Caenorhabditis elegans: one gene and its partners. The protein of the gene in region 3 purifies or fractionates together with the protein of the main gene of each other region. This does not show direct contact. Each region holds a gene or a part of one and is shown on either strand. Other genes may lie near its edges.

The links.
Region 1: the proteins of F40G9.18 (region 3) and madf-3 fractionate together in Caenorhabditis elegans (co-fractionation; one large-scale study listed by BioGRID). This does not show direct contact.
Region 2: the proteins of F40G9.18 (region 3) and herc-1 fractionate together in Caenorhabditis elegans (co-fractionation; one large-scale study listed by BioGRID). This does not show direct contact.

The regions. Positions count from the first base shown.
Region 1 is NC_003280.10:4,332,992-4,336,743, forward strand, and holds the start of madf-3 (Alcohol dehydrogenase transcription factor myb/sant-like protein), read left to right. Parts: upstream 1-1,756; 5' UTR 1,757-1,820; intron 1,821-2,684; 5' UTR 2,685-2,715; coding exon 2,716-3,279; intron 3,280-3,752. Other genes in the region: H20J04.4 (RNA helicase), read left to right, coding at 451-744.
Region 2 is NC_003279.8:1,209,378-1,213,129, reverse strand, and holds the start of herc-1 (HECT domain-containing protein), read right to left. Parts: upstream 1,646-3,752; 5' UTR 1,636-1,645; coding exon 1,542-1,635; intron 557-1,541; coding exon 357-556; intron 1-356. Other genes in the region: nsun-2 (tRNA (cytosine(34)-C(5))-methyltransferase), read right to left, coding at 2,125-2,268.
Region 3 is NC_003281.10:167,540-171,291, reverse strand, and holds the start of F40G9.18 (F-box domain-containing protein), read left to right. Parts: upstream 1-1,713; 5' UTR 1,714-1,735; coding exon 1,736-1,878; intron 1,879-1,930; coding exon 1,931-2,230; intron 2,231-2,398; exon of another isoform or gene 2,399-2,503; intron 2,504-2,525; exon of another isoform or gene 2,526-2,803; intron 2,804-3,128; coding exon 3,129-3,722; intron 3,723-3,752. Other genes in the region: F40G9.9 (F-box domain-containing protein), read left to right, coding at 1-79, 142-735, 787-922.

The DNA of each region.
Region 1 (3,752 bases), on a different chromosome or scaffold from region 3:
TTCGGCAAAAAATAGGGAAAAATTGCCTAAATTTGAAGCTATATTTTTTTTTCGGAAAATCTAGAAAAAAAGCGAAAAAAAAACAAAAATTGCACTTCTTTTGTAATTTTCCAGTGCCATATTTTGGATAAAAAAGGAAAATTTTTAATTTTTTTTTCGAAAAAAGCGAGTTTTTCTGCTAAAAACACGAAAAAGGCGGAAGAAACATTTTTTTTCAAAAAATTTGAATTTCCCGCCAAAATATTGAATTTCCAAACTCCTTCCACTTTCAATGACGCCAAAAAAAAATATTTTCCTCTCATTTTTCACTCTCTAGTTGACTGCGTTTCTCTCTATATTGACGCAAATAATTTTTTTTTCATCATTTTTTCCCCCGTCTCTTTTCATTTCTCTACACAAAAAATCTACTTTTTAATCAATAAATTCCCTTAATTTTCGCATTTTTTTCAGGTCAGCCCAAAACATGTCACCAAATACGTCACCCAAGTGCTTGTGGCGAAGAAAGAAGCCGAGTTGAAGCTGGAAAATCAGAAATTCGGAGAGAAAAAGGAGATTAATCGAAGAAAAGAGCTTCTGATGAGTGGAATGGATGAAGATGAAGCTGATAGGCATTTGGAGGAAATGAGGACTCGAAGAATGACAAATTCCAAGAGAAAGCTGGAGAAAATTAGTGGACAATTGGATAAAAGAGATCGATTTCAGAAGAAATTGGCGGCGAAAAAAGTGAAAAAGGAAGAAAATTGAATTCATTTTAAATATTGTAATTTTTGTTCAGCTTGTGTCGATTTACGCGGCTCGTGTACTCCTCGTGGAGAAGTGCAAAATTTTTACAGTTTTTGCTCAAAATTACAGAAAACTGTTAACAAAATGCAAATTTTTGAACAATTAAAACAATTAAAAGTGGCCAAAAATTACCAAAAATTGCAAATCTCCACTTTTTCAAATTAAAATTACGGTATATTTTTGGCATTTAAAGTTGTGTTTGCGGCAAACGATTTTTTTCCGGCAAATCGGCAAATTTGCCGGAATTGAAAATTTGCGGTAAATCGGCAAACCTGCAACTTGCCGAAAAAACGGAAATTGCCATAGATTTTCGGCAAATTGCGATTTTTTACCTTTTTTTTTTTTGATATTTCAGAATTTAAATTTTAATCGGCAAAACTGTACGCATCCTATGACTATTCCTACATCTAATTTGAAAATTGGCAAATTCTATGAAAATATCTAGAAAACCGACAAAAAAATTTCAAAAAAGCACAGTTTCAAGTTTTTCCGTCTCGTAAAAATTCTTCCAAAAAATTCCTGCAAATTTATGTTCGGTAAATCGGCAGGTCGACAATTCGCCGATTTGCCGATTTTGTCGACAAAGAAATTTGCCGAACAGCAACTGTTAACAAAATGCAAATTTTTAATTTAAAATTAAAATTTTTAAGTTGCCAAAAATCACCAAAAATTGAAAATCTCATTTTTTTTCTGGGATTTAAAGCAAAAAATCATTTTTTTTTAGTGTTAAATTCAAAATTCTAGTACTTTACTTCTCCTCGTGGAGTACACGAGCTTGCGATTTCTGTTGTTTTAGATTTAAATTGTTACTTTTTTTGTTTTGTTTTGTTTTTTTGTTGTTGATTTCTTTTGAAAAAAAATCAATATTTTCTATCACATCTATTTTCTTTTTATTCCCCATAATGGTTTCCTTAAAACCTTCCTCATAATATCTCTAAAAGCCGTCTCAAAAAGCGATTGCTCTAACACTTTCAGCTAATCATGATCTCCAGTGAGCACAACTATCAGCATTTATATCACGAAGAACAATACGATATGTGAGTTTAAAATGATATTTGGATAAATTTAGAAAAATCGAATTTTTGAAAAAAAAAATCAGATTTTTCTCAAAAAAGATCCAATTTATTTTCCGATAAATTGGCGAAAAATCAACAATTTTTTATATATGAAAAAAGAAAATTTTTCTAATTGTAAGTACTTACGAAGTGCTAAAAATAATTTAATCTACTAAATAAAAAAATTAAAAAAAAACTTTTGTTGTCAAAATTTTTTTTTTTCAACAAACAATTTTTTATTTTAAAAAGGTAAAAAATCAGTTTTTGCAAACACTTTTTTTCGAAAAAAAAAAACGTTTTTTACTTTAAAAAAAAGATGTTTCTAAAAACCTTCGAAAAATACCAGATTTTTCGAAAAAATTGCAATTTTTTTAATACGAAAATTTAAAAAAGTTAATTTTCGAAACAAGTCCATTTTTTAATTATATATTCTATCAAAAAAAATTGAATTAAAAAAAAACTTGATCTTCCATTAAAAACACATTTTTTTTCGATAAAAATCTTTAAAAATCTTAAGGTGTTTTTTCTTGAGAAAAAATACTCGATTTTCTTTTTAAAAAAAACTGCGCTTTTTTTGTAAAAAATTTAAAAAAAAATTAATTTCCGACAGAAAAACTATTTTTTAAAATTATATATTCGATAAAAATTCAAAAAATCGCGTTTTCCTTTAAGAACATATTTTTGGATAAAGTTTGATGTTATCAGTTTTTTTTTTCAAATTAGAAAAATCAAAAATTCACTCAAAAAAATCCCAAAAAGCATTTTTCCGAAAAAAAAGTTCGCTTAAAAAAATCAGAAAATTATCTGATTTTTCTAAAAAAAATCATAAATAACCTTTTTTTGCAGGAACTACACAGCGACCCGCTTCGGCGAGGAAATGATCGAACCGACATTCAACCTACGTCTCATCGAAGCCGTCCGTCATAGTCGATGCCTTTTCGACAATACAGACCGACAATACCGTAATACAGAATACAAAAATCGAGTTTGGCAGCGTCTGGTTACTGTACTCGGTTTTGATGGTGATCCGAGAATGTTATCTGCGAGATGGAAGCAATTAAGAGATAAATATGGAAAAGAGAAGAGAAAACAAAAATATGGAAATGAGAAATCATCATGGCAATATTTCAAACATCTTCATTTTCTAGATCCACATATGACAGATCGAGCAGAAATATCACCATCTCGAAAAGAGCCAACTGGAGTTCATGAAAAGATTGCTGAGCCATGTTTTGGAAAAAATCTAATTCTTGAAGTGAGAAGGCATCCGTGTCTTTATGATGTTCGTGATCCAAAATATCGTCATGGAGACTGTCGTACTCAAGCATGGGGAATGATTATTGATAAACTACGATATCCTGGAACAGTTCCGTCGATTTATAAACAATGGAAGAAGCATCGAGATCGATATGTTAGGGAGAAGAGGAGGCTGAGGAATTTGGTAGGCATTTGGAGGCCTCATGAAAAGGAGAACTTATGGAAAATGGGATCTGGCAGGCGGCAGTTGCCGGTTTACCTATTTGCCGGAAATTTTGATTCCCGGCAAAGTGACGATTTGCCGGAAATTCTAATTTTAGGCAATTTGCCGGTTTTCCGGAAATTTTGATTTTTGGCAAATTGCCTATTTGCCGGAAGTTTTCATTTTGGGCATTTTGCCGATATGCCGGAATTTTTAATTTTAGGCAATTTGGCGATTTGCCCGAAATTTTGATTTTTGGAAAATTGCCTATTTGCCGGAAATTTTGATTTTTGGCAAGTTGCCGATTTGGCGATTTGCCGGAAATTTTGATAAACGGCAAATTTGGCGATTTGCCGGAAATTTTGATAAACGGCAAATTTGGCGATTTGCCGGAAATTTTGATATTCGGCAAATTTCCGGTTTGGCGATTTGCCGGAAATTCTAATTTTAGGCAA
Region 2 (3,752 bases), on a different chromosome or scaffold from region 3:
CTATGAGAAGGAGATTTACGAGAAGTGAATCTACCAAAAGAGTATCTGGGAGAAGAGGATCTAGAAATTTGCTATTCTACGAGAAGGGGATCAACAAGACGGAGATCTACGAAACGGGGATCTACGAGAAGAGAATTTACGCAAATGGGAACTATGGGAAGAGGATCTGCGAGATGGAAATCTAAGAAAAGGGGATTCCACGGAAAAAGAGTTTACAAAAATGAGATCTACGGGATTTTCTCGCCAAAAACTAGGGAAAAACGAAAAATTTTTTATTTTTCAAATGTTATTTAGCGAAAAAATATGGTAAAATCATTTTCTAATGGATTTTCGCCAAAAAAAAAACTCAAAGTTACCTGAATAATTTTCGCACTGCTTGTCCAAGAAACCGGATAAATCGAAAAAGAACCCTCAGTCCGACTGCCTCGTCCCAATTGTCCATCCATATTACTACCAACACTCCACATTTTGCCATCTTTTGTCAGGAATACTGTATGTTGTTCACCACACGTGACTGACGTCACTGCGGTTCCATCCATATCATTTGGAGCGCCAACTGAAATTTTGAACAATTTTCAGAGAAAATTCCGAGACGATTTTAAACTATTTTCACACAGTTTTTAAACAAATATTCAAAAAAAAAGAGTTTTTTAAAGATGCATACAATTTTGCTCCAAAGTAATCAATTTTTTTTCGTTAGGCAAATTGCCGATTTGCTGGAAATTTTCATTTTAGGCAAATTGCCGATTTGCCGGAAATTTTAATTTCTGGCTTTTTGCCGATTTGCCGGAATCTATCATTTTTGAAAAATTGCCGATTTGCCGGAATCTCTCATTTTCGGCAAATTGCCGATTTCCGGAAATTTTAAGTTCTGGCTTTTTGCCGGTTTGCCGGAATCTATCATTTTCGGCAAATTGCCGATTTGCCGGAAATTTTAATTTCTGGCTTTTTGCCGATTTGCCGGAATCTATCATTTTTGACAAATTGCCGATTTGCCGGAATCTCTCATTTTCGGCAAATTGCCGATTTCCGGAAATTTTAATTTTAGGCAAATTGTGGATTTGCAGAAAATTTTAATTTCTGGCTTTTTGCCGATTTGCCGGAATCTATCATTTTTGACAACTTGCCGATTTGCCGGAATCTTTCATTTTAGGAAAATTGCCGATTTGCCGGAACCTTTCATTTTAGGAAAATTGCCGATTTCCGGAACCTTTCATTTTAGGCAAATTGCCGATTTGCCGGAAATTTTCATTTTAGGCATATTGCCGATTTGCCGGAAATTTTCATTTTAGGCAAATTGTCGATATGCAGAAAATTTTAATTTCTGGCTTTTTGCCGGTTTGCCGGAATCTTCCATTTCCGGCAAAATGTCGGTTTGCCATTATTTCTTTAAAAAAGTTTTTTTTAAAGTTTTGTGAAAGATTTACAAAAATCTTCCAATTGTTTTTTTTTCATCCGAAATTTTTTAATTTTTAAAATTTAATTTCGGAATTAATTTTTTTTTCTGTTTTCTAATTTCTGCAACAAAAATAGCTCCGTACTAATTCTCTCGGGAACTTGAATCGTCGACTCGGAGAGCCGAACGCCGAGCTGTCCCTCGCCCGTGTGTCCACATCCGAGCAGCTCAGCTCGCATTTTCTGAAATCTGATTTTTTTAACAATTAAATTTTAAAAAAACAATCTAGAAAATATCATAGTGTGATCTCAACAACTTTAGTTTTTGAAGCAGTATCAGAGGAAAAAATCTGAAAAAAAAATTCAAATTTTTTCAAAAAAAAAAATCAAATAACAACTGCAACAACAATAAAGGGAACACGTTGTGACAGAATGTCTCATTTCGGTTTGATCTACCTAGATCTACAAAAAATGCGGGAGTTGAGACGCAGAGTTCTCAACTGATTTTGCACGATTAAAAACGTGCTGACGTCACAGTTTTTTGGGGAAAAATTCCCGCATTTTTTGTAGATCAAACAGAAATGAAACACTTTGGCACCACGTGAGGGAACAAAAAAAAATCGGTGGCCGAGTTTTTTCCACACGGCCACGTAGCAGAATTTATAACTGTGTAGGGGATAAATGGAGATAAATTAAAGGAGAAAAAAGAGATAACAAAAAAAAAACAAATTATTCAGTCATTTCTTGAACATTTTCTTCTGGAATTTCCAGAGTTTCAGCAGATTCTGGAGCATCAGTTGAGCTGCTGGACGGCTCCGCAGCCTTTGCGGCTTCTTCCTTGCGAGCCCACGCGGCTTCACGGTCTTGGGCGGCCTGAAAAATTGATTTTTTGGACAAAAATTTAACTTATTTCTCATGAAATTACTAACAATTTGTGAAAACTTCCAAAAAAATTTAGTTAAACTTTTTTATTAGTTTTTTTTCTTCAATTTTCAAATTATCCTATTTTTCTAAAAATAACAATTTTCCGGAAATTCTAATTTCTGGCAATTCGCCGGTTTGCTGATTTGCCGAAAATTCTAATTTCTGGCAATTTGCCAGTTTGCTGATTTGCCGGAAATTCTAATTTCTCGCAATTTGCCGATTTGCCGGAAAATTAAAATTCTGGCAATTTGCAGAAAATTTGATTTCTGGCAATCTGGCGGTTTGCCGATTTGCCGGAAATTTTAATTTCTGGCAATTTGCCAATTTGCCGGAGATTTTAATTTCTGGCAATTTGTCAGTTTGTTGATTTGCCGAAAATTCTAATTTCTGGAAATTTGCCGGCTTGCCGATTTGCCGAAAATTCTAATTTCTGGAAATTTGCCGGCTTGCCGATTTGCCGAAAATTCTAATTTCTGGCAATTTGCCGGTTTGCTGATTTGCCGAAAATTCTAATTTCTGGCAATTTGCCGATTTGCCGGAGATTTTAATTTCTGGCAATTTGTCAGTTTGCTGATTTGCCGGAAATTCTAATTTCTGGCAATTTGCCGGTTTGCTGATTTGCCGAAAATTCTAATTTCTGGCAATTTGCTGATTTGCCGGAGATTTTAATTTCTGGCAATTTGTCAGTTTGTTGATTTGCCGAAAATTCTAATTTCTGGCAATTTGCCGGCTTGCCGATTTGCCGAAAATTCTAATTTCTGGCAATTTGCCGGTTTGCTGATTTGCCGGAAATTCTAATTTCTGGCAATTTGCCGGTTTGCTGATTTGCCGGAAATTCTAATTTCTGGCAATTTGCCGGCTTGCCGATTTGCCGGAAATTCTAATTTCTGGCAATTTGCCGGTTTGCTGATTTGCCGGAAATTCTACTATCTGGCAATTTGCTGATTTGCCGGAAATTTTAATTTCTGGCAATTTTTCGGTTTGCCGGAAATTTTAATTTCTGGCAACTTGCCGATTTGCCGGAGATTTTAATTTCTGGCAATTTGCTGATTTGCCGGAGATTTTAATTTCTGGCAATTTGTCAGTTTGTTGATTTGCCGAAAATTCTAATTTCTGGAAATTTGCCGGCTTGCCGATTTGCCGAAAATTCTAATTTCTGGAAATTTGCCGGCTTGCCGATTTGCCGAAAATTCTAATTTCTGGCAATTTGCCGGTTTGCTGATTTGCCGAAAATTCTAATTTCTGGCAATTTGCCGATTTGCCGGAGATTTTAATTTCTGGCAATTTGTCAGTTTGCTGATTTGCCGGAAATTCTAATTTCTGGCAATTTGCCGGTTTGTTGATTTGCCGAAAATTTTAATTTCTGGCAATTTGCCGATTTGCCGGAGATTTTAATTTCTGGCAATTTGTCAGTTTGTTGATTTGCCGAAAAT
Region 3 (3,752 bases):
TGTTAGTGCCCGATTTGATATTAAAAGCAGGACTGTGGTTTTGGTGCAAAGATTTTGAATTGGAAGGTGTACGTTTCAGGTGAGTTCAAGGGATTCCAGGGTTTCAAGGCATGTATATGTTTGCCAAAATTTTTTTTTCAGAGTAGAAAATGGACCAGATGGGTCTCTAATACTGTGGTCCATCAACTCATCATTCAAAACTTCTCACTTGGCCATTGACAAACGCCTGAGATCCATACATCGTCCCACGAGCGAAATTCATTTAAATATTAATTCAAAAGATTTTACAACTTGTTTACCACATATTGAGAACATTAACTACGCTTTTCTGAAAAATACCAGTGGAATTAATAGGAGATTCAAGTCAGCCGACATTGAACAGCTAAATATGAAGAACTTGGTTATATGTAACCCAATAGATGGAAGGTTTGAGAATGATTCAGGAATTCTGAACCTAAATCATTTGTACCTCACCAACGCTGGATCAACGATTGACCTACCGACTTGGCAATTCAACGGTCGTCATCTATGGCTATCAGGAGCGAATATTTCAAACGAAGATGTGATTCATTGCTTGGAACTTTGGCAGTCAGGTGCAGCGTTTCAAAATCTAGAATCTCTACTTATTCGTACTGAAAAAGGATATCCCTTAGAACCTGCTATGATCTACAATCAACTTGATGCAAATCCATGGGATTCTGATAGACGGCCGCAGTATTATGTATTTGATGAAAAGTCAGTTTTCTTTGATTTTCTATTTATTATTTTAAAAGAATTGCGTTTCAGTGTACGGTATTTCAACTTTTCAAACAATTGCAGCAAAATGGACTTTGCTCGTTATCTGGATATCGAAGGTATTGAGAAAATGGCCTCTATATACATTATGCCGCATTGTTTGGAACTTTACGTCTGGAAACTATAAGATAACGTTTTTTTTGTCAATACTTGTTAACGGTAATAAACTGGAATATTCAACTGTCGGTATTTTGAAGTGCTTTGTTTGCACAAAAACAAAAAAGAAATCATTTTACTTTAGCTAAGTTACAAGCTTACCTAAATAAAATTATAGCAACAAAAATAATTAATCAAAAAAAAAATGATAGAAAAACTATGTATGTGAAAGTTTTAAGAATGACAATTTCTCAAAAGTAAAAGTGCATATCAAATTGAGTTTTTTACCAATATTCAAGTATAACCCTGTTTAACCTCCGTACACATTTTTGTCTAGTGGTGTGGTAAGCTTTCAGGGATTGCCCCTCTGTTTCTATTCACCGATTGTCCTCAATCGACTGTAACAACTGGAGAAATGAGAGAATATTACATTCACCTCCCTTGATTTCAATAGGCTTCAACTAGAAAACATGGCCAAAAATCGGTTTTAGCAACCTTCGATAATTCAAGCAATGTTCCCAATATCACATAGTGTCAGACTGTCTCATTACAGTTTGATCTACCGAAAAAGCGGGCACTTTTTCCAGAAAAATTGTGACGTCAGCACGCTCTTAGCCATGCGAAATCAGATAAGATGTCTGGGTCTCAACTCCCGCAGTTTTAAGATCAAATCGAAATAAGACATTCTGGCTCCACGTGCAATATGAATAGCTCGGTAACATGGTGCAAGACTACACCAACGCCGGCAATAAATATTATCGATCGATAATTCGTGCTCTGCGCGCGCGCGTCTTGTGCTCTTCACTATCTCAATTTACCTCTTTTCCATTCTACAGTCATTGTTATGTCCTCGCTATCCAAATTTCTTAATGAAGCTAGCTCTTATATTGAAGAAAACTTTATATTTGTGTGTACTACGATTTTGGCTGTTGAAATTGTTTCACTCATCACTTTTGATGTTTTAAAAGCAAAATTAAGGAAAATGAGGTAAAGAAATCTATGGCTATTAACCTATATATTTTTCTTTCTTTTTTTCCAGAATGAAGAAATTGCATCTTGTGAAACTCCCAGTTCTCGTTCAAAAAAGGATCTTCAAATTTCTGAGTACCCGCGACGTGTTTGCATTATCCCTTTGTTTTAGAAAGCTTGCAGTTTCAGTGCAAAACTGTAAATCGGAACAGCAAAACATGATTCATATGTGCTACAAAACATTTGATAGACATCAACATCAATTTTTAGTGGAGGACGAGTGCGTTATTTTGTTTGTGCCCGATTTATTATTCAAAGCAGGACTGTGGCTTTGGTGCAATTGTTTTGAATTGGATGGTATTCGATTCAGGTAAGTACAACGGGGTTTTAGGGTTTCTTTGTTCCAGAATTCCAGGGTTTAGAGGTTCCAGGGCACCAGCGTTTTAAGGCTCCAAGATTCCCGGGTTCCAGGGCTTCAGGGTCCAGGTTTCCAGGGTTTCAGAGTCCAGGGTTCCAGGGATTCAGGGTTTCAGGGTCCAGGTTTCCAGGGTTCCAGGTTTCCAGGGTGCCAGAGTTCCAGGGATTCAGGGTTCCAGGTTTCCAGGGATTCAGGGTGCCAGGTTTTCAGGGTTCCAGGGTTCCAGGGATTCAGAGTTTCAGGGTCCAGGTTTCCAGGGTTCCAGGTTTCCAGGGTGCCAGAGTTCCAGGGATTCAGGGTTCCAGGTTTCCAGGGATTCAGGGTGCCAGGTTTTCAGGGTTCCAGGGTTCCAGGGATTCAGAGTTTCAGGGTTCCAGGGTTCCAGGTTTCCAGGGTGCCAGGGTTCCAGGGATTCAGGGTTTCAGGGTTCCAGGGTTCCAGGGTTCCAGGGTTCCAGGGTTCCAGGGTTTCAGGGTCCAGGTTTCCAGGGTTCCAGGGTTTCAGGGTCCAGGTTTCCAGGGTTCCAGGGTTTCAGGGTCCAGGTTTCCAGGGTTCCAGGGTTTCAGGGTCCAGGTTTCCAGGGTTCCAGGGTTCCAGGGATTCAGGGTTTTAGGGTCCAGGTTTCCAGGGTTCCAGGGATTCAGGGTTCCAGGTTTCCAGGGTGCCAGGGTTCCAGGGATTCAGGGTTTCAGGGTCCAGGTTTCCAGGGTGACAGGGTTCCAGGGATTCAGGGTTTCAGGGTTTCAGGGTCCAGGTTTCCAGGGTGCCAGGGTTCCAGGGTTCCAGGGTTCCAGGGTTCCTAGGCATGTATCTGTATTGTTTATGTTTTCCATAAAACTATTTTTTTCAGAATTGGAGTTTCACTAGATGGGTCTCTAATACTGTGGTCGATCAACTCATCGTTCAAAATTTCTCACTCGGCCATTGACAAACGCCTGAGATCCATACATCGTCCCGCGAGCGAAATTCATTTAAATATTGATTCAAAAGATTTTACAACTTGTTTACCGCATATTGAAAACATTAACTATGCTTTCCTGCACAATACCAGTGGAATTAATAGAAGATTCAAAGCAGCCGACATTGAACAGCTAAATATGAAGAATTTGGTTATTAAAAACCCGATTGATGGAATCTTCAAGAATAATTCAAAAATTCTAAACTTAAACCACTTGCTCATTTCCTACGTTGGTTCATTAATTGATCTACCTACTTGGCATTTCACCGGGCGTCACATATGGCTATCTGAAGTGAATATCTCAAACGAAGATGTGATTCGTTGTCTGAAACTTTGGAAATCAGGTGCAGCGTTTCAAAATCTAGAATCTCTACTTATTCGTACTGAAAAAGAATATCCCTTAGAAGCTGATATGATCTACAACCAACTTGATGCAAACCCATGGAATCCTTTTAGACGGCCGAAATACTATGTGTTTGATAAAAAGTGAGTTTTCATAATTAAAAAAAAAAATTT